Daphnia pulex: one gene and its partners. The protein of the gene in region 2 purifies or fractionates together with the protein of the main gene of each other region. This does not show direct contact. Links are inferred from orthologs where the notes say so. Each region holds a gene or a part of one and is shown on either strand. Other genes may lie near its edges. The genes, in order: E3 ubiquitin-protein ligase UBR5-like, zinc finger-containing ubiquitin peptidase 1-like and replication protein A 70 kDa DNA-binding subunit-like.

Region 1 (6,751 bases), on a different chromosome or scaffold from region 2:
TTTTGATTACGTGCGGCATGTGTTTGAAGGAATATGGCGAAAATCGAGAACCCAAGTTTCTACCTTGCGCCCACACGTTCTGCCGATCATGTCTCACGGTTAGTATAAACATAGCAATAATTTGGTAATTTTCTAAAATTAACGTTTATTGTATATTGCGTAACATACAGGAAATTAAACAAAATACCGAAATCAAGTGTCCAATCTGCAGGAAGATTCATTCCTTTTCTGAAGATTTGCCAAACAATAATTACGTCGAATCCTTGATCGAATTAGACATGAAACTTGCTGATATCGAGGCTCGCGAGAAGGACAGCGTGGTTCAGTCTGTCGAACTCAAAAACGATATTCAAGCTTCCTTAGTTGTGTTGGCGGAATGTGCGCAGGATGTGGAAACGGAGATGATGGGACATCTTAGGAAGGAATTTTCCACCTCAACTCAAATTGGACAGTCACCTTTTGGTTCCAAAATCGACACTTTTCTTTCGGAATTGAGAATGCTTTTGAATAGCCCAGCCCCCGCCAGAAATCAATTGACAGCGGCCACAGAAACAGTTTGCAGTTGGTTTCAGGTAGATCGCGCTATACAGATGAGACTCATTTGAGTTTGAAATAATTTATTTATTTTTTTATTGTTGATTTAGAAACATCAAATGGACAAGAAAGACTATGCCAATTTGTTGATCGAGCTTGAATCTAGAATGATTGAAATGGAGAATCGAGAAAAAGAGTGGATTTCTCGTCATCTCAAAAGGGATATCAAGTCTTCCCTGGCGAAATTGACGAAATCAATCCACAGAGCCGAGGATGACATTATGAAGCAACTCGAAAACAACGAAACACTGGCCATGGCTAACGTCCGAAAATCCGAGTGCGATATTCACTTCCAAACTGTGTTTAAATTGGAAGGTTTATGGGAGAAACGATTGCCCATCCGTGGCGAACCTCAAGATTTTCAGTACAAAATGCAGGAGTATTTGGCGTTTGTTAATCGACATTTATTATCGGACGAAATTGTCTTCATTTGGATAGAAGTATTTTGTTTTTCTTTTGCGCTACCTTGAGTTATCAAGTTAAACCTATTTCGTTTTTTCCCTATTCATTAGCAACAATATGTCTACAAGGTTTCTCTCGAATTGTTATCAAATCGGGATCTTTTCACTGCAGCCCTGCATGAAAGTAAAGAAGGTAAGCTTTTGCTGTTGCGGAACATTACAATTCACGGACCACTTTTTAAATTTGATGTGCAGGGATAGAAGTACAAGTTGATTTGAGCAAAACTCCTTATAGAGATTTACACGAGCTTTATTCTGCTTTGATTTTTGCATTGGCCACTGCTGCTATAAATAATTCGATTGAAGGTAAATTTCCCAATTTTATGTTAATAGTTTACGTAATGTGTCTAAATATCTATATATTTTTTAAACTAGATAAAAGTGGAGATTGCAAACTGAACCATGCAATTTTGAAACGTTGGACATCTTCAATATTAAAACGGTACATTGACGAGAGTGATAGCAGCGGAATGCAACTGATATTTGTTGTACAAACTTTGGTCGCTAAGCTACAACATCCCAAAGGTGGTCACTAGCGATGGATAACGGAATTCAATATTAATTTAATTTTGAACGATTTCTCTAGGTTTGATGCAAGAAATCTTTGAGGTGCTGTGTGAAGAGGGCCTCTTGTCATGGGTTATCGATCCATCGATCGTTGCTCCATCCTCCGGCGAATCAGGTTTTCAAGGGGGAAGCAAACTTGTCGCATATTTGATTTCTGATTTGATTTCGTCGTACATGGCAGAAAAATCATTGCATGAAGACAAACTAAATGAATCTATTGATATTGAATGTATAAGTATATTATAAAAAAATGCCTAATAGCCCATATCCATGGAATATCACCATATCGATTGAATCCCCAATTTATTTCTTCTTACACGTTCCCATATTAAAAATCAAGTTCGTTTGCTAAATCATTTAACATCTATTCTAATACATATATTCCAAGTTATATTTTGTTGTTTTTTACATTTATCCAACTGGAGCTACCAAATTTTGAATTCGTTATTCAAAAATTGCCACTATGTGGCGTTACCATACCAACCCATCAGTAGGAAAACTAGACGTAGGTGGTGTAATAATATGATTATGTTGCAATTTATTTATTGCATTATGACGTAATTTTAAATTGCGATTGCCAAAACCTTAGCAATATTATATGGGTTCTTGTAGTGCACTACCTTGAAGTATGAGTTAGAAAAAAGGAATAGAAAACTTAAAAGTCGAATTGATAACATAGCATTTTGTTCTTATTTGAAGAATTAAAGGTTTCATGGTTTCACTAGTCAAAAGATTTTGCAATTTACGAAATTAAAACGTTACATAATCGAACACAAAACGTTTTGTTAACATTATTTCGAAATTCGAGCATTTTTGTGAACAATGAAAATTTCGAACAAAACACGAGCGAATCGCGAGCAAAGGATTCAAAGTGGCAACGCTGTTTCCAAGAGAGAAAAATTGAGAGAATTGAGAAGACTCCATGCTGGACGTTATTAAGCCTGCTCATGATGGTCTAGACAGAGACCCATGAGAAAAAGGAAAAATTGTTCGAGAGTTTCTTAATTACATATCAGTTTTGTCTTCATGATGTCGGGATCATCAAATATTCATTTTCTCGTGCAATCATTACCCACCACAGAAGAAGTGATATTGGATCGGTAAGTTTGTTGCCAACACATCACCTTCGTATTTCCCAATACCTACCATTTTTCGATTCCCATTTTTGTACAGGGATAATGAAAAACGTATTTCTAACGAATGTAGTATATTGAATGCAAATTTTCTTATGATTTTGCAGGCTTAAAGAACTTGCTGATAAAACCAACCGTTTTGGGCACATCAACTCTGGTTTTACCAGTGCATTACGTTCCCCTGTCCAGCAGTGTGTAGTGGGACCTTCCCATATTGTGTTTCTGCTGGAGGATGGAAGGGTGTGCAGACTTGCCTTCAATGTTTTACCGGATCGCTTAGATCTGAGCAAAAATGAAGCAAACCGGGGGAAAGATGGCAAGGGATCTGGCCCAGGTCCTAGTCGCCAGACTTGCAAAAGAGGCAGGTTGCTCAGAGCTTCCAGTCTCAGGGGTGCAAGCAACAGTGGATCTAGGGGAACAGGACTTTTGGCTTCCGGGGCAGTGGGACATGGTGTCATCATGGCTAGCTCTAGACCTGTCTTTGTCCCTGAAGAACTAGTTTCACAAGCCCAAGTTGTCCTGCAAGGAAAAAGCAGAAGCGTTATTATTCGCGAGTTGCAGAGAACCAACTTGGATGTCAATCAAGCTGTCAACAATTTGCTTTCACGTGACGATGATGAGAGTGAAGACGTTGACGATTCTCAGGATTCATACGTTCCCGAAGACTTGATTTCTCTGCTCGATCCTGGTGCAGGGCTACACTCTGACCATGCAGGGCCTTCCGTCATTATTGACGCTGACGCCATGTTCTCAGAAGACATGTTTGGTTATTCAACCATTCGCAGCCGCCCATCCGGAAATAATCGTGGAAGAAGCGTGGAAGGCGAACGAGAACGCAGCAGTGATCGAGGTAGTTGTCTTTTTATTAACAATCCTGCTTTTCATTTTTTTTTTTTATTTAATCGGGTACAACTTATGAAATATAATTGTAGCAAAATTGATTAACTGTCTCACAGGAGGTGGAGGTGGTGGTAGTGGAGCAGGGACAGGAGGAGCAGATCGTGAATCTGGGATGTTTCGTTGGCGAGATCGACATTATCTTGGACCACGTCGTTGGCTGGAAACAGCGCTTCGAGACACTTGGTACGAACGTGACCTGGATGGCAGCAAAAAGAAAGACACTCCACATCAAACACAGAGCCCTCTAGGTCTGTCAGACGAGCTTGAATTTTGGCCTGAACGAGGCTCTAGTGGTCCGTCTCCCCGTTTCACCAGCATTGCTGCAATGTATTCTGAGTTGATCGCACTTAGTACATCTGGTCAAATCCTCTCATGGAAATGGACTGACGCGGAGCCTTATCGTCACCTGGATTTCCCTCACGCTCATCACCCACGAGCTCTTACACTGGGGCTCTATGCTGAAAAAATTGTACTGCTGTCGGCATCCGTCATACGGTGCACTGTGGTAACGGAATCGGGAAAAGTAGCCAGCTGGTTAGATGAAACTGTAGCTCACGTTCCCGGTATCACAAGACTTGAACATGCTGCCCAGCACCCCTCTGAATTTCACGGCGAAAAAATCGTTTCACTCGACACCTGTTCACTCTACTCGGCTGTTCGACTAGAAAATGGAGCCATTTATTGGTGGGGCGTATTGCCACCAGGCCAACGCCGTAAACTTTGGGACAAATACCGAACCAAAGCTAAGAAGAGCCACAGCAGCTCAGCTTCCGGTTCCGATATCGTTACTGGCGCACAGGTAAATAACGAAATAGCTATTTCTTTGTTATCATTTTTTAAAGCTTATGGTTGATTTTATTCTTCAGGTGTGTATGAGAAGTAGTCCCATGTATCAAGCTGGAGCCATTGGATTCTCAATCATCGATGGTGTGCCGAAAGTCGGTCAGCTGCAAGGTTCAGCATGGAGCTGGACTGATACTTGTCGATTCCGTATCGTCCCAGGACCCCCTCCCTTGGTCCGCCTAGCTCCACCTCTTCCACCCGGAGGTAGTAGTGACAGCAAACGTGGCAATGCTGCAAGTGGAAGTAGCAGCAGTAGCAACGCCGAAACCTCTAAAACATCGAGCACTCGTGAGGCGGTTGTCGAAAAACCTGACATGCCTCCTCCTCCATCGCCAGCCAGCAGCACTTGCAGCGAAACGGGGAGCGTAGCAGGAGGCTCACAAAAGAAACACAAGAGACCAGCTCCGCGCGGCGATAGCGAAGACAAACGTGGCGACGAAGAGGAATGGGTGTTAAAAGATGTCATTTTCATCGAAGATGTTAAGAATGTGCCCATTGGCCGCGTCCTCAAGGTGGACGGCGCCTACGCTGCTGTTCGTTTTCCGTCTAACAAGGATTACAGCGGCAAGGAAGCTAAAGATTTAGTTGTGCCGGCAAATAGCGGCAGCGAAGATCCTGCTTCGCTTCTACAAGATTGCCGTTTATTGCGTAAAGACGAATTGCAGGTGAGTGACGATTGTGAATATTTGAATCCACGAAATTTCCCTAATCTAATGTTACTCTTTCTCTATTTAGGTGGTAAAATCGGGCTCATCCATCCGGATCCCTGATTGTTTCCAAAGACTCCCGCGACGAGTGACGTTGGCCGATCCCGGACAGATTTTAGCCTTCTCAGTAGACGGACAAGGTATTCACACGGTCAACAAAGTTGGCTCTCAGCTCAAGTACACAATCTACAATCTGAGCACGGGAAAAGCCGAGTATGAATCGAATATACCAACGGACTATACCTCGTTCATGGGCCTCAACGTCGGACGAAACATTGGACTCTTCAATACAGGAGATGGTGACGCCTTGACTCTGCTCCGTGATGGAAATGGCACAATCTACCCTTTGTCACGTGACTGTCTCGATTCTATTCGTGATCCGCATTTGCTGGATTTGCCACCAATGCGCTGCCTGGGTTTCGGTTCCCATTCTCTGCAAGGGGTTGGTCCTGGACAGAAGACTCAAGCCATATTACTCGTACTCGTCACCGAAAATCAATTATTAATGCCCAAGTTGCTGGCCTGCGATATCGATGGCGTTCGCCACGTCATGAACTGCTTAGAAACGTCTTCAGAAGCCTATCGCCTTTCCGGCGTCCAGAGTATCGTCAACGAACGCTGTGATGGTGGTCGAAACGTAATCCACGCCTGCGTATCCATGTGCTCACCAACTTCAAACAAAGATGCGGACGTTCAAGACGAGCGAAATGTAGCACCCGTCGCCAACTCCATCGCTGATCCTCTAGATCCCCTTCCGGTGGGTTTGAGCACTTCCTCCCGGGCTGTAAGTCTCAGAGAGATGATGAGGCGTGCTGCTGTTGCTCGACCATCGGAAAGTTCCACAGCCGATTCGGGAGTTCCCAGTAGTAGTTCCGTAGTCGAAGAAAACATTTCTATTCCGACGCTCAATTGGCCACCGGAACCGATGTCTTTGGAATCGTCCAATCACGGCGATGACGATCAAGCTGGCTCGAGCAGTGCCGGCGCATGTGGCTCCTCCAAAATGGCGGCTGCTGCCGTTTCCGACCCTGTTGAACGACGTGCCAATTCCTTGGCCGCGTTGAAGGCCATCACCGAGAGTCCAGCTCTGACCCCTCATCTACAGACACTCCTTTCCGCGCGTGACGCTCAAGGTCACACACCGTTCATGCAAGCGGTTGCCGTTCGTGCCTACCCCGCAGCATTACTTTTGCTAGATGTGGCCACTAGATTATTTCGACAGATTACAACGGAAGTGGACGCTCAGAAAAAGCTGTTGCAGAGTTTCATTTTTCCATTGGGCAAGAATGGCTGCAGCCCGGATGACTCACCGCTCCATGTTCTCTGTAGCAACGACACGTGCAGCTTCACTTGGACCGGAGCCGAACACATTAATCAGGATATCTTTGAATGCCGAACATGCGGCCTTACGGGATCCCTTTGCTGTTGTACCGAGTGCGCCCGCGTATGTCACAAGGGTCACGATTGCAAGCTCAAGCGCACATCGCCCACCGCTTATTGTGACTGCTGGGAAAAGTGTAAATGCAAGGCTTTGGTTGCCGGTAAT
Region 2 (6,670 bases):
CTTGGAACATTTTCAACTCAATATATAAAATAACAATAATAACTTACAATTTTCTTTTTGACTGACTGCATCTTGACTCCTGGATGTTCACTACTCATGGGCTGAATAATCAGATCAAATTCAACTAGTTCTTCCCCCTCTTCCACTTTGACAGGATATTTTTCAACTGAATAGTCAGTAGCAGTTTGAGCTATTGTTTTCAGGAACGCTTGTTTGAAGAACCACGTTTCACCAGGTGGATTCTGAACTACTTGATTCAAGCGGGTCTTCAAGGATTCTGTGCTGTACTTGAGATTTGAATTACGTCTGACCATTTTAGGAACAAACTTTTTGTAATTTGTTAGGACATCACTCATTTTGACACCGTAATCCTTCATATGGCAATACATAGCGGTTACAGCTAAACCCAATGCCACACTTTGGTTTGTTTTGTTGTTGAATGCTGTAATCTTTCCCTCCACAAACTCCTCGTGAACTTGTTGATAGAAGTAGTTTAGTGCTTTTGTCCCAATTTTAGATAAATTAACAAGGGAGGGCCAAAAGCGTAGCCTCAACTCATAAGAATCATCCCCATCTTTCAGGAGATCTGAAGGATTGACGTAGAGTTTTGAAGTCTCGTTCCTGAGCGCAAAAAGGTTCCGAGAAGTAGGGCAAATTCCCAAATCGCGACAACATTGTATACAAACGTCTTCAAAGGACAATCCGTCATCAATTGGAATAATACCAGGGCTGGAACCGATAATTTTTACGACAATCGACATTCTCATGTCATCCTCTCTGAGCTTACTCACTGAAGATAAAACCGGTTGAACTCTCACATTTATGCATCAAGTGACAGCTGCCTAAGGGCAAGGTATCAAAATCAAAACGTCAAACCTGTTTTTGTTGTTCCAGTCACGTAGGAGGATGGGAAATGGGAATATAGGCACACAAAATACGTTGCCGTCCTATTTAAATGAATTGTGAAAATGTAGTAATTAATTATTATTATATTTTATTAGCAGAGATTTAAGCAAAAAAAGATTATATCTTACCAGATTACTTATTATTTGTTATTGTTATTCATTTATAAAACGAATTTCACATCTTCTTTTTGAATCACAACAAAGGCCGCTAGATGGCAGCATGGTCTGTTTTTTCATCCCGCGCTTTCTTTGAATTTTTAAATTAACACTTTCTCCATCTCTTCATAAAGTTTACTCAGTTTCTAGAATTCTTTATGTTCATGTGTTTCGGTGTCTTGAGATAGTATGTATACCCACATTTACACAGGCCGATTAACTCCATTAGCAGTCAATTTACAGCAATAGATTCTAATCTTATTGAACAAGTGCCGTGTGACGTTACTTTTTATAAATAAGGAAATACAAGTGCTATTTACTACTCCATGTAATAATTTAATATTAACAAAACTTCGTTGCAAAATGTGACAAGACGATGAAACTCAATTTTGGACAAAATATTTTATATGAATGCGGTACGGTACAAGTGCATAGAGGAAGAATTTTGTAGGCACATAGATGTAACAATAAATTGCGTACCTTAATTTTCTAAATCAATTTTCTCAAAACATTAAGGAATACGAGTGGAACGGATCAATTTACTTTGCTGTAGAAATGAAACAAAAGGTCAGGAATCGTTTACATAATAAATTCATAAAACATTAACAACTTACTATGAACTCTCGATCGCTGTCAACGAAGCCACCGTTCACACAAACAATTTGATATTGCCTGGATTTTAGAGAGGTCATAGGAACCCATATTTTCTTTGCAGTAGCGTTAGATTTAGTCGAATCAGAAGTGTTTGTCAACTGACGCATTTGATCGCTTTTATGACTTGGATCAAGAATAAGTAAACGCAGTTTTCCCTGTTTCCCTTCGTCAATGCCAATAATCGTGCGGCTGTGTCCTGAAAATTTACGCATCACACACAAATCAGACAAGCCAACATAACTAAAAATTATTGTCCATACCTTGGTGTTGGAAGTAAAGCGGTGGTTTAAATTCTGACGGTTCTTGAAAGTACTGTTTCACCCAATCGAATAAGGCCGGATGTTGTTTACCGTCATCAGAAGTAGGTCGATGAAAATCTATTAAACGGTAACTTGATAAAAACATTGTCATTAATGATCTGTTTTATCAAAAAGAAATATTTACAGCTTACCGAATATGACAAGAAGCCAAAAGTGTTGCAATTTCTGTTGCGCCAATCCATTTACATGTACCATAGAGCTTGCCACCGAGTTGTTGACACCCCTTTATTACAACAATGTAAAAATGTTGAAATTAAAGGGTTGCATAAGTAAATAAAGTGCTCTTGCATTCTTACTTGTTGGTCAAATCCCAACTTCCAGGCTTCTTCTATCGCAGATTGAAGTCGAGTGATGGATGGGACTTGAATTGAATTGCCTAAAGTCGATGACGTCGAAGGACATAACGTTGTCAATCGTTCGGCGCATTGCGGATGGCGAAGAAGGGCACTGAGTAGCATTTGAAGGTTCCTATGCAATTAATTAAACAAATGTAGAATTAACTGTGCCACTGTAATTAATAAACTGATAGAATTACCGATATCCACAGCCCCAGCCAGAATCTCCAAATGAAGCTGCATAGTGGTCAATATCGCTACACATGTGAATGTTCTGCGTTGTAGCAAATCTTCTTATGTGAGATGTTATATCTGTTTACAGAAAAAGTTGAAAATGTCAGAGATAATCATTTTTGCTTGCGCTGCACCTCGAGTAGCTGATGAACCATCGTCAACACCAATCTTCTCAGACATTTTAAGCATAATGCGCTTCTCGTGATAATCAACCGCGGACATATTTCCTCTTTTAACAGATTGTAACAGAGTTGCATCACTTTGTCGATTCATATTTCTCCCTTGATCAAAGCCGTGAAGAGATTGAAGTCGCTTGAAATCCTCGCGTTCCTTCTTTTGCATCAATTCTCGTTCTTGCTCCTCTAATTTTCGTGCAAGCTGTCCATCGTCGTCTGAAGGATATCGTTTAGAAAAGGGAAACACAGTGTAATAGATTAAAGCAAAGAAATAAGAATAATTTCAAATTGGATATATACCAAGTGGTGGAACACATTCATTTGAAAAGTGCTGATTGACATGCTGTGCAAGTACTTCTTCAGAGGAGAACTCATTTGATAAACAGACGGGACAAGAGAATCTAGCAGCTGCAGCCTGAAAAGTGAAAAGGAAATTGGTATAATTGTTACAGTTTTAATCTTCAGTTGTTACAAGAGATTTCATACGCAGGATTTATCTAGGAGCATGGATAATAAAGGATATGAAATATTTACATCATTAATAAACATGTCATGTTCTACATGAAAGTGAGATTCAAGTAGAGAAGAATCTTTAAATATTTCACTGCACAGTGGACAAGCATGATCCATCCGAAAGGAGTTTATTTGATCTCCCGAGCTTTGTCCTTCATGCCCCTAGAGCAAAATGATTCTGAATTACTATACTAAAATTTTGTAACTTCAGTGTTAATTTACCAGGTGTTCATTCTCGATATGAGCTTCAATTTCACTGAGTTCTTCACTAGTTTGAGAGCACATAGGACAAGTGAATTTTTGTAAACTACTGGAAATAATTTTGTTTTGGTCAGAAGTGGTTGCAGAACTGCGACTAGATATTATAATACAATCTTCATCGGAGCTCATTTTTAATAGAATGGTCTTAATTAGCTATATATGTAACAAATTAGCTCCCGCTACTTTCACACCAGTCACCAGATCAAAATTGTAAACAAACTGGGAAACACTCAACATCGTCTGCAACAGCGTTGTGAAAGTCCAAGCAGAAGAAAAAATTTGTAAAATTCTCAATCAATGAAATTTTTAAAAATTCTTTTTAATTAAGTGCAAGTAGAGTCAGTTATAATTTCTTCCGTTTATTCAAGTTTACTGAAATTCTTATGTAATGAATGATTCATCGGAGCTCATTTTTAATAGAATGGTCTTAATTAGCTATATATGTAACAAATTAGCTCCCGCTACTTTCACACCAGTCACCAGATCAAAATTGTAAACAAACTGGGAAACACTCAACATCGTCTGCATCTGCAACAGCGTTGTGAAAGTCCAAGCAGAAGAAAAAATTTGTAAAATTCTCAATCAATGAAATTTTTAAAAATTCTTTTTAATTAAGTGCAAGTAGAGTCAGTTATAATTTCTTCCGTTTATTCAAGTTTACTGAAATTCTTATGTAATGAATGATAAGTCCTTGAGAACATTTTGTAATCGCCGCTAGATGGCAGGTAATGAGCTTTTAGTGGAATAAAAAGGAGCGCGTTCTTTGAACAACATTCCAACTACCCCCAACTTGAAAAAAACAACGTACTTGAGTGGTCCGGTTACCATAGAAACCCCCTCTCGGTACGCGCGCCACTCCTCAATACCACTCATAATATATAAGAGTTCAAATAATGCTTTCCCCCCTCTCCCTTTTTGACCATAAAAAACTCTTCCTATAATAGTCCATTCAATTACCCGCACTGTGCGACGGACGTCAGATGCATCCGTGGGACGCAAGGATGATCTAAATTGAAATTCATATTGGGGACTTGCAGGGGAAAATCGAATTAAACGTCCCAAAATATCTTGATTGTATTCTTCGCCCTAGTACTAATAATCCATCTTTTAAACCTTCAATCCTGTTCAATTTATAGAGTGTCTGCTAGACAAAGTAAATACTAAATAGGACAAATGCGGCCACTTGAAAGCACTGGAATACTCAATTCCAAGTCTAATAATTTCACGAAAAGTTAATTCACTTTTGAAAAGTAATTCAGAGAAAGAGAACTTTCAACGAGAAGCAATGCAACCTCTAGTCTGTCGACCCCATTTCGCCCGATTGGGTCTCTCCTTTCGACCCCACCCACAGGAAGGGGCCCCTGACTCCACCCCCTAACCAATGGCAACGCACTGTGTCATAATGATCGATGAGAACGCGCACAATAGTAAAAAGTGGTGACGTCATAACCATTTATTTCGCAACATTTTTTGGTATTAGCATGTCTTCCGTATAAAAACAACACTTAAAAAGGAACAGAAAAACAGAGCCAAAACAAAAACACACTTTAGAGAGTAAAACGTGGAAACGTTACGTCATAGCGAGACAACAACAACCTCCGAAGCAAAAAAATTAATATAATCACACTTGAATCATATTTCTCTACAGCAATTTATACAGCGGATTGATAAATTAAAGAGTTAAACCTAACAATACACTCTTACAGAAAAAGTGATGAAATCTTAAGGTTTCATGTACATTTTCCGAATTAATAGGCAAACACGCAAATTAGTTTTATGAATACGAAAGGGCGGCGGTGCCAAGAAACAAAGAAAAAGCGAATATCAGAATTTCAAAACGGACGTCGTAACAACCCGTTAGACATGGATAAACTTGGCTGAGGGGGTTTAGGAGGACGCAGAGGTGCGGAAGCAGCTCTGGCGGCTGCAGCAGCTGCAAACTGATGCATGTACGACGCCACGATGAGACGCTGAGTGGCCACTTGCTGAGGATGCGGCGGAACCAATGACGCAGTTTGCGACAACGTGACCAAATTTCTCATCGCTTCCGGATGATGTATCGGGGTAGGTAGACGACGGTGATGATGATGGCGATGGTGATGTTGCTGCTGCTGGATGAGTCTTTGATGCTGTCTCTGAGCTAAACTGTCCGTGATTGAATGAAGTGCGGTGGATCGCTGCTGGACGAATTGCGGAGATGCCGGAGGTTTTGGGCTCGGCTCTCTCGGTGATTTGTTGTTAGACTCTTCCGGAGGACAAGTTCGAGTTGATTTTGAGGACAGATCCAGGGCGCCAGCCGAGTCATCTTCCTCTTCTTCTTCGTCGTTATCCATCCCGGAATCTCTTCCGTTGCTGTTACTGCCGTTCAAATTCACTTCGTCGACAATAATCAACTTGCCTTCGTCTTCAACGTCATCTTCAGCCACCACCACCGTCAACTGTGGCGAATCTTGTTCAATTACTTTGGGAATTTCCGGGGCGGTAGGTTTGCTGTTGTTGTTGACGGAATCGCTGTTGCTGCTGGTGATGGGATCGGATATAGGAAGCAATGGAGGTGGTGGTGGACATTTGGTTGCATTAGGAACTTCCAGTTTATCCCCTTCCGGGGGTGGAGTAGGATTTTGACGAGAAGCCAATTCAGCGGCTTGAACAAGTAGCTCGACACCATTGGGTCGCGACCAAGTAGAGTATTCCGGCGATTTGATCCTCTCGACAATTTTGACTTTGAGAGGATGCAGAGGCTCTATGATCGGAACCAATTCCATCGTCTTGCGCTTTCGACGCTTCTTCTTCCGTCCGCGTTTCTTGCTGGAAGGACTCGACTCGACGGGAATTGACGAATCCAAATTAGATTTCTTGGATGACCGGTGATGTACCGGATGAATCACGTCAGATTCCAGAGGCGAATCCTCCAGTTGATTGGCACGCAATGCAGTCCGTTTAATGGAAATAGACAATCGTTGCTGTTTGGGTGGAGATGAAGGCGGAGGGGCGGATGAACGCTTAACACCTCCGGTAGATTTCCCACCCGTTTCCGTCGACGACGTTCTACTCTGACACCGGCGGGACTGAGTGATGTTGTTGGCGGTGCTTCCAGTGCAAGCGACTACTGCCGT
Region 3 (6,459 bases), on a different chromosome or scaffold from region 2:
ATTTTTGCCAAAAGATTAATTTTTCGCATTTTTATCTCTTTATTTGATGTTGTTATTACGGCTCTTTATTTAAATGACAGAAAGACAAGATTTTTTTTTACCTTACTCTGAAGTCTGAACTGTGCACAGCAAAATATTACGCGCATGCGCTTTTGTTTGGTTATTCCAATTTTGAAAAAATCGTATTTCAGGAAACATTTTTTCACTTAAGATGGCTCTGTATGCGGTACTTTAACTTACGTGCTTTGTGTATGGCCTTGAAATCTACGAGGCCAACACAAGTTTGCAAGCAGGCAAGCAGCCGTTCACAGCAGCTCTTTTGTGGAAGTAACTTCAGATATTAGTAGTAAATAATTTCAATAAATCGCTAAGTAGAGTAATATTTCAGTAATTGATTGATTGATTAAATTGAAATGGCGGCAACTAGAAGACTTCACAAGGTGAGTTGAAAGTTATCTATATTGCATCACAAATTCATAATCTGTAGTGATAATAATTCATCTGTATAAACATTTAATGTATTCTCTGTGTGGTCAAAGGAATTGGAAGACATCAAGAAGTCTGGGTTGAAATCTTTTCGCGACATTCAAGTTGATGAACAAAACATTTTGACTTGGCATGGACTTATTGTTCCTGTGAGTCTGAATTTTTTAGATGAATATTGATTGAATTACCTTGGTTACAAGCCATCATATATTTTTCATAGGAAAATGCTCCCTACAATAAAGGAGCTTTTCGGATTGAAATAAATTTCCCTGCTGAGTATCCATTCAAACCACCAAAAATTGCGTTCAAGACAAAAATCTATCATCCAAATATTGATGAAAAGGGACAGGTAAAAATTTCAATGTTAACCTTGTAAATATCTTATTTGTCTGGCAATTTCTGTTAGGTCTTAAAAACATTTGCCTTTTGGAATTTTTGCCATACTTATTATTGTGTGTTTATTTCTTTCAGGTCTGTTTGCCCATAATAAGTGCTGAAAACTGGAAGCCTGCCACCAAAACTGATCAAGTGATACAAGCGCTGGTTGCCTTGGTTAATGATCCAGAGCCTGAACATCCACTTAGGGCTGATCTTGCTGAAGAGTATTCCAAAGACAAAAAGAAATTCATGAAGAATGCAGAAGAGTTTACAAAAAAAAACAGTGAGAAGAGACCAAGTGATTAAATGTTTTCTGTTTTCATCATAAACACTTGAGAAGAGGCAGAGTTAAAATTTTGAACTGGTCCCCCCTCTTTCCCTCTTCACTTCATTGTAGAGCAGTGAGAGCTGCACTGTGATCTTCATTTATTTTCATTTCTATCTTTGCCTCTCTTGATGGTTGAAATATTTCATTGCACATGAGCTGCGAAAAACAATACATTTGCAGTTGTCTGAAAAATTATTTTTTGTAATATCCATGTTTATTTTGCAAATCATTTATTATCATGTTACACACACGGTTTTTCCGGGATCTCGATTTGATTCACAAGAACAGGAATTCATAAAGAATTGTTCCTGTATAATCCGAAAATGAAGGTTTTTTATAAGTTTAATAGATAAGGAGCAAGGGAAAATCCATTCATTCTGATGCAGCCATTTCTTTCATTTCTCGAATCAATCGCTCGTTGTGCTCTTTATAGTTGATTTCCTTCACTTCATAGACATTTGTTTTGAGGCGGCTTTCATCCTAAAGAAAAGGTAAAAGCGTCAACAGATAACAAGATCGAAATTCATAATGCTCATAGACTTACATTGTACGTCTCCATTTTCACTCTCAGGCGGAAGACATACCACTTAAAAGTAGCTTCTTCGAAAATTTTCTGAAATTCGTTATTATCCGAATCCTTCAATCTACCGACCTCGTCTGCGGATTTCCCTAAAATTTATAATCAAATAAATAAATATTATATGCTAAACGTAACATTAGTTCGAAAACAAAATTACCAAGAAGAGTTTCAGCGGTTTCTTGGAAGCAGGTTACCCATTGCTGGTCCGTGGCATCCGCGATATTGACCTATAACAAATTTCGAGTGCTGTTTTGAGAGAAATAGATTTCATAAAATATCTTTGTCATACCGAAAGCATCATGCGCCATTTGAATTCCTGGAATTCGCGCTGGCATTTCTCACATCGATAGAGGCCATTGTTTTGATCGATGACCTGCGGGAAACGCAAATATTGTCAAAAATGAGTTGTTTTATTATATATTTATGTTTACCTTTTTGTTGCATTCATCACTGGGACAAGCCATGTACAACGCTCTTTCTTTGTTGATCATAGCAACCATAGCCTTAACACTGTAGAAATCAGGTTTATCTTTTCCCAGGTTTTCGAATTTTGCTTCAGCGAAAGTCTTATACGACCCACCACTACCACCAGTGCCAGCGCCACGACTCGCCGAAATGCTAGAAGCGGCCGATGATGAGCCACCGTTATCGTACCACCCTCTTAGTTTGTGAGCTTCATTCATGTCAGGATTGATCTATTAAAAATATGCGCTGTAGAATAGTAGAGAAATAGAAAGTCTTACATTTGATTTTACCTGCACGACAGTAGACGAGACTGTTCCTAGAGAACGACCTCCAAAATCAGAAAGTTTCACTCCTTTTAATGCTACAACAGGCTGGGAGCTAGCGTCAAATTCCTCGCCCATTTTTCCCCATAAAGTCAAATTAACCTGATGTTTGAAGACAAGAATGATTAATTAACTGGGCTCGACAATTAAACGAAGAATCCAGTCATACCTCTGTGTTGGTACTGTCCACCATCTGAACTTCTCGCATCCTCAATTCTTTATTTGTCGTTTTGGAAACGATAACGCGGACGTCATTTGCTGACTTAACCACACCAATGACATCTGAAAGCACGGTCAATCGGTCATATCGTAGGCACCATTCAAATAGAAGAATTGTAATGTTAATGCACCTAAAAGACAACTTACCAATAACACTGTCCTTGTCCAGGCTAGGTAGCTGATCAATGGGAACAAAGTTGAAGGAGATTGATGGGATATCTGATGTATCATCGTGGCAAGGAATTACCTAAAAAATAAGTAAAAGAAAAAAAAATTGAGGCTGGTACGATTGACGATTGAAAAACATTCATACTGTAGTATTTTGGTTGAACGACATTTCATAATCGTTCCTCATACTGCTGTACTGTTTGTTTGCTGCCTTCAGTTGTGCTTGTGAAATGTAAAAGATCTTGCCGATCTACAACGAAAAATAACAATGTAAATAAATAACTTCAAACACTGTTTTTGAATTAAATGTACCTCAATCATGTGGTAAAACTTGTCACACTCGGCATTGAATGCAGTGGCACGGATTTCACCAGTCTCATCCACCATGTCCATCGAGAAAAGCTTTCCTTCACCTCGAGAATTGCTCCACGTACGGATATCGGACTTGTTTATAATTCTCACTTTTACAGTCCACCTACAAACAAGCAAAGTTAATGATTCAATTTTTCTTGTACTGAAATTTCTCAACAAACATACTTGTTTTGGTAGGGTGTAAGGCTTACAATCGGATGGGTAATAATGTCAGACTTCTCTGTTGGCTGTCCATATCCACCAGTTTTGTTAGGTGGTGCAGACTTCGATCCCATATTGTAATTGTTCACATTTCCTAAAGGTGCAGGTTTTGCTGCTGCCTCTTCAGTAACCTCTCCAACATCATTAAGAGTCTGAGGGTTTCCTATTTTTTCTCCAACCTAAACAAAAAATGTTCAAAATGAAGAGATATCCTTATTTGTATTTCGAAACTAAGTAAAGTGAACATACTTCACTTCCAGGCACAATTGGCTCAACATCCAAAAGAATGATAATTTTCTTTTGGTCCTTGCCTGCAGTTGCCTTAGTAGCAACTTTGTTAACAACAAACTTTTTTACTCTAATGATGGTAAAGTTCTCAAGCTGACCATCCACAATCAGATGATTTAGTTGTGTTGCCAACATTCCATATGCATAGGAATACTTTCCATCAGAGATGAGAATTCTGTAACGGTCATTATTGTCTCCCTGAAGATTTTTGTAACCCTATTGTAAGAGAAGAAAATGTAAAAATGCTGCAAATGAAGAAAAAATCTTGCTCGTTGCTTACCAAAACTTGTAGAATTGGAGTTTCATTGTGCAGGCCATTCCCAATGATGGACTATGTCGAAATAAAGATATTTATAGTTTTATTCAAAAATTCGAAATTATGATTGATATTACCGGAATTGCGCCGCTGGTTAGTGCTGGGTGATTTCTTCTGTTCATTTTACGGAACCTTTTTTAACGGGGATTACTTCGTTCAGTCAACGTGCTTGAATTTTTTTAAGCAGTTTTTACGGACAAGACGACGAAGTGCGATGGCGGGAAAACAACAGTGGTACAAACGAAACCAAGGCTGAACGTGCAGCGTTGAATGTTTAAGAAACTTTTTAACTCAATGAAGACCACTAAAAATATAAAGAAGAAAAATAATGAAAAAGTTTTTTTTCTGAAATAAAGGTTCATACGAAGCAAAAATAAGTTTTCGTTTTATTCGCATTTTTGGCGTTGTTGGATTTTTTGTTTTTCGAAATGTCCGGTTGTTATAGCAACAGTTGCAGACGACAACGGAAACTATATCGTTATATGAAAATTTGTGACTGAATTATTTGATTTCCTTCAAAAACGAGTTAATTGCCAAAGAATCTCGAAAAATGATTTCGGAAAACTTTATTAAAGCTATTGACAAGATTAACAACAATGATACTAGTGGTTTGCAAGAACTTATAAAATCCCGGGACGTTGAAATTGACGATGAGGATGAGCATGGAATGACATTACTGCAACATGCCGCTTTTAAAGGGAAAAAAGATATTTGCCAGTTGCTCCTTGACCTGGTAAGTCTAACTATATTATCAATGTTGTTAATTTGATTGAAAAGTTGACTTTTTTTCTCGAAGGGAGCTGATGCCAATGGAGGTCATCATGAACACAAGTATACTTCCCTTCATTTTGCAGCTCTGTCTGGAAATTTGGATATTTGTCAACAATTACTTCAGTGTGGTTGTAAACCTGATGTGGTTAACTCAGTAGGCAGAACTGCAGCTCAAATGGCTGCATTTGTAGGTAGGCTAGTCAATCATAATGTTTGTACAAATCATCCAAAACTAAAATGAATTATTTTGGCAAACCAGGGAATCACACAGTTGTTTCCATCATCAACAATTTCATTCCACGCTCAGAAATAGAGCAGTACACTGTAGCTCCTAGCGATCAAACTGAGCCAAAATTGCCACCAGCTGCTGCACCAGCTTTGCACAAATTTGTGATGCAGGTTGTGCACTTGAATAGACACATCACTTCATTTCTTATTCTGCCACGGAAAAGCACTTGAACTTTTTGTTTTGTTTGATTTATCAGGTCAATCTGCATCCAGTTCACCTTTTGTTGACTATTCAAAAACTTCCTTTGCTTTACGATAACCTCACAAAAGTGAAAAACGTCTTGGAGATACTTAGCGAAAATCAGATGAAGCGCAGCCAAGAAGTCAACGAGATCCTCGCACTTAAATACCACTATTTGCGTTTCCTAGTCGAAAGAATGGCCAAAGAGCAGCAGCAGCACCCCGACAAAACCGTTTTGGAGTTATTAAATCAATATGTTAAAGCATTTTTGAAGCAACGTCAATCCGATGGTTTTCCCGAGTTTATGGACAACTTCATCCGCGAGTCGATCCGCACTTTCCCTTTCAAGGAGACGACCATCTTCCGCCAGTTGCTGGTCAATCTGTCCAAGACAAAAGAGGAGACTCCACTAGCTCTCAATCTTCTCACTTCCTGCATCAACGGTCAGCGTGGATTTCAAGATGACGACGCCTGTGCCACTTGCGGCCAAGAGAAGGTAGCCAGCAAGTGTTCCATATGCAAATCTGTGCAATATTGCAACCGCGATTGTCAAAAGTTGCACTGGTCTATCCACAAAAAGGAGTGCGACAAGTTGGCCAAGCAATTTAAAAATTTGGAAATTAAATCTCAAGACTCCGAGGCGAAGGCTGCCGATCCGGAAACCAGCAAATAGAAATTTTGATTATGTGGGGGTTTTTGCATGATCGAATTCGATGTATGTTCACCCCGTACGTTTCCTTTTTAATCTACAATTGTCTACAGCGGACCCCTGTTTGCTTCCATATTTAGCTAACCTATTCAGTTGTCCAGTCTTTTACACTGTACGTGCGGTCCCATTGTTTTTATATCGTGAAAAATCTGCTTTGAATGGCCCCCATGTTATCGTCGCATTCATCCCACACAAATACAAACCTTGTCATGCCTCATTTCTAGTGTATTTCTTTTCTTAGACTAAAAAACCAGCCACTAGATGGACATTGTTCTCTTGTGGCCCTCCTCATCCACATATTGCTACACTAAATCTTCAAATGTCTACCCTTCACTAAGAAATATTTCCCTCTCACCTCAAAACAAGGAAATACAAATTACGCGAAA

The links.
Region 1: the proteins of zinc finger-containing ubiquitin peptidase 1-like (region 2) and E3 ubiquitin-protein ligase UBR5-like purify together in Homo sapiens (affinity purification with mass spectrometry, with the first as the bait; 3 studies listed by BioGRID). This does not show direct contact. The link is inferred for Daphnia pulex from reciprocal best matches to the Homo sapiens genes ZUP1 and UBR5.
Region 3: the proteins of zinc finger-containing ubiquitin peptidase 1-like (region 2) and replication protein A 70 kDa DNA-binding subunit-like purify together in Homo sapiens (affinity purification with western blotting; 4 studies listed by BioGRID, with this or other methods). This does not show direct contact. The link is inferred for Daphnia pulex from reciprocal best matches to the Homo sapiens genes ZUP1 and RPA1.

Annotation. Positions count from the first base shown.
Region 1 is NC_060021.1:11,110,152-11,116,902, reverse strand, and holds the start of E3 ubiquitin-protein ligase UBR5-like, read left to right. Parts: upstream 1-2,510; 5' UTR 2,511-2,648; coding exon 2,649-2,722; intron 2,723-2,862; coding exon 2,863-3,605; intron 3,606-3,687; coding exon 3,688-4,454; intron 4,455-4,521; coding exon 4,522-5,163; intron 5,164-5,233; coding exon 5,234-6,746; intron 6,747-6,751. Other genes in the region: uncharacterized protein LOC124194704, read left to right, coding at 1-98, 171-572, 645-1,034, 1,107-1,188, 1,251-1,361, 1,431-1,580, 1,642-1,868. UniProt on the Homo sapiens protein: E3 ubiquitin-protein ligase involved in different protein quality control pathways in the cytoplasm and nucleus. Mainly acts as a ubiquitin chain elongator that extends pre-ubiquitinated substrates.
Region 2 is NC_060028.1:10,618,319-10,624,988, reverse strand, and holds zinc finger-containing ubiquitin peptidase 1-like, read right to left. Parts: upstream 4,046-6,670; 5' UTR 3,966-4,045; intron 3,684-3,965; coding exon 3,516-3,683; intron 3,456-3,515; coding exon 3,315-3,455; intron 3,196-3,314; coding exon 3,081-3,195; intron 2,997-3,080; coding exon 2,739-2,996; intron 2,683-2,738; coding exon 2,571-2,682; intron 2,504-2,570; coding exon 2,332-2,503; intron 2,259-2,331; coding exon 2,167-2,258; intron 2,107-2,166; coding exon 1,976-2,106; intron 1,912-1,975; coding exon 1,676-1,911; intron 1,609-1,675; coding exon 1,573-1,608; 3' UTR 1,375-1,572; downstream 1-1,374. Other genes in the region: tyrosine-protein kinase JAK2-like, read right to left, coding at 48-767; polycomb group protein Psc-like, read right to left, coding at 5,387-6,670. UniProt on the Homo sapiens protein: Deubiquitinase with endodeubiquitinase activity that specifically interacts with and cleaves 'Lys-63'-linked long polyubiquitin chains. Shows only weak activity against 'Lys-11' and 'Lys-48'-linked chains.
Region 3 is NC_060017.1:3,018,036-3,024,494, forward strand, and holds replication protein A 70 kDa DNA-binding subunit-like, read right to left. Parts: upstream 4,371-6,459; 5' UTR 4,247-4,370; coding exon 4,202-4,246; intron 4,140-4,201; coding exon 4,089-4,139; intron 4,025-4,088; coding exon 3,770-4,024; intron 3,700-3,769; coding exon 3,485-3,699; intron 3,423-3,484; coding exon 3,260-3,422; intron 3,198-3,259; coding exon 3,093-3,197; intron 3,027-3,092; coding exon 2,927-3,026; intron 2,843-2,926; coding exon 2,730-2,842; intron 2,663-2,729; coding exon 2,528-2,662; intron 2,468-2,527; coding exon 2,204-2,467; intron 2,146-2,203; coding exon 2,062-2,145; intron 2,000-2,061; coding exon 1,930-1,999; intron 1,862-1,929; coding exon 1,737-1,861; intron 1,673-1,736; coding exon 1,565-1,672; 3' UTR 1,385-1,564; downstream 1-1,384. Other genes in the region: ubiquitin-conjugating enzyme E2 L3, read left to right, coding at 414-440, 540-635, 707-835, 958-1,170; ankyrin repeat and MYND domain-containing protein 2-like, read left to right, coding at 4,675-4,857, 4,921-5,086, 5,155-5,294, 5,381-6,037. UniProt on the Homo sapiens protein: As part of the heterotrimeric replication protein A complex (RPA/RP-A), binds and stabilizes single-stranded DNA intermediates that form during DNA replication or upon DNA stress.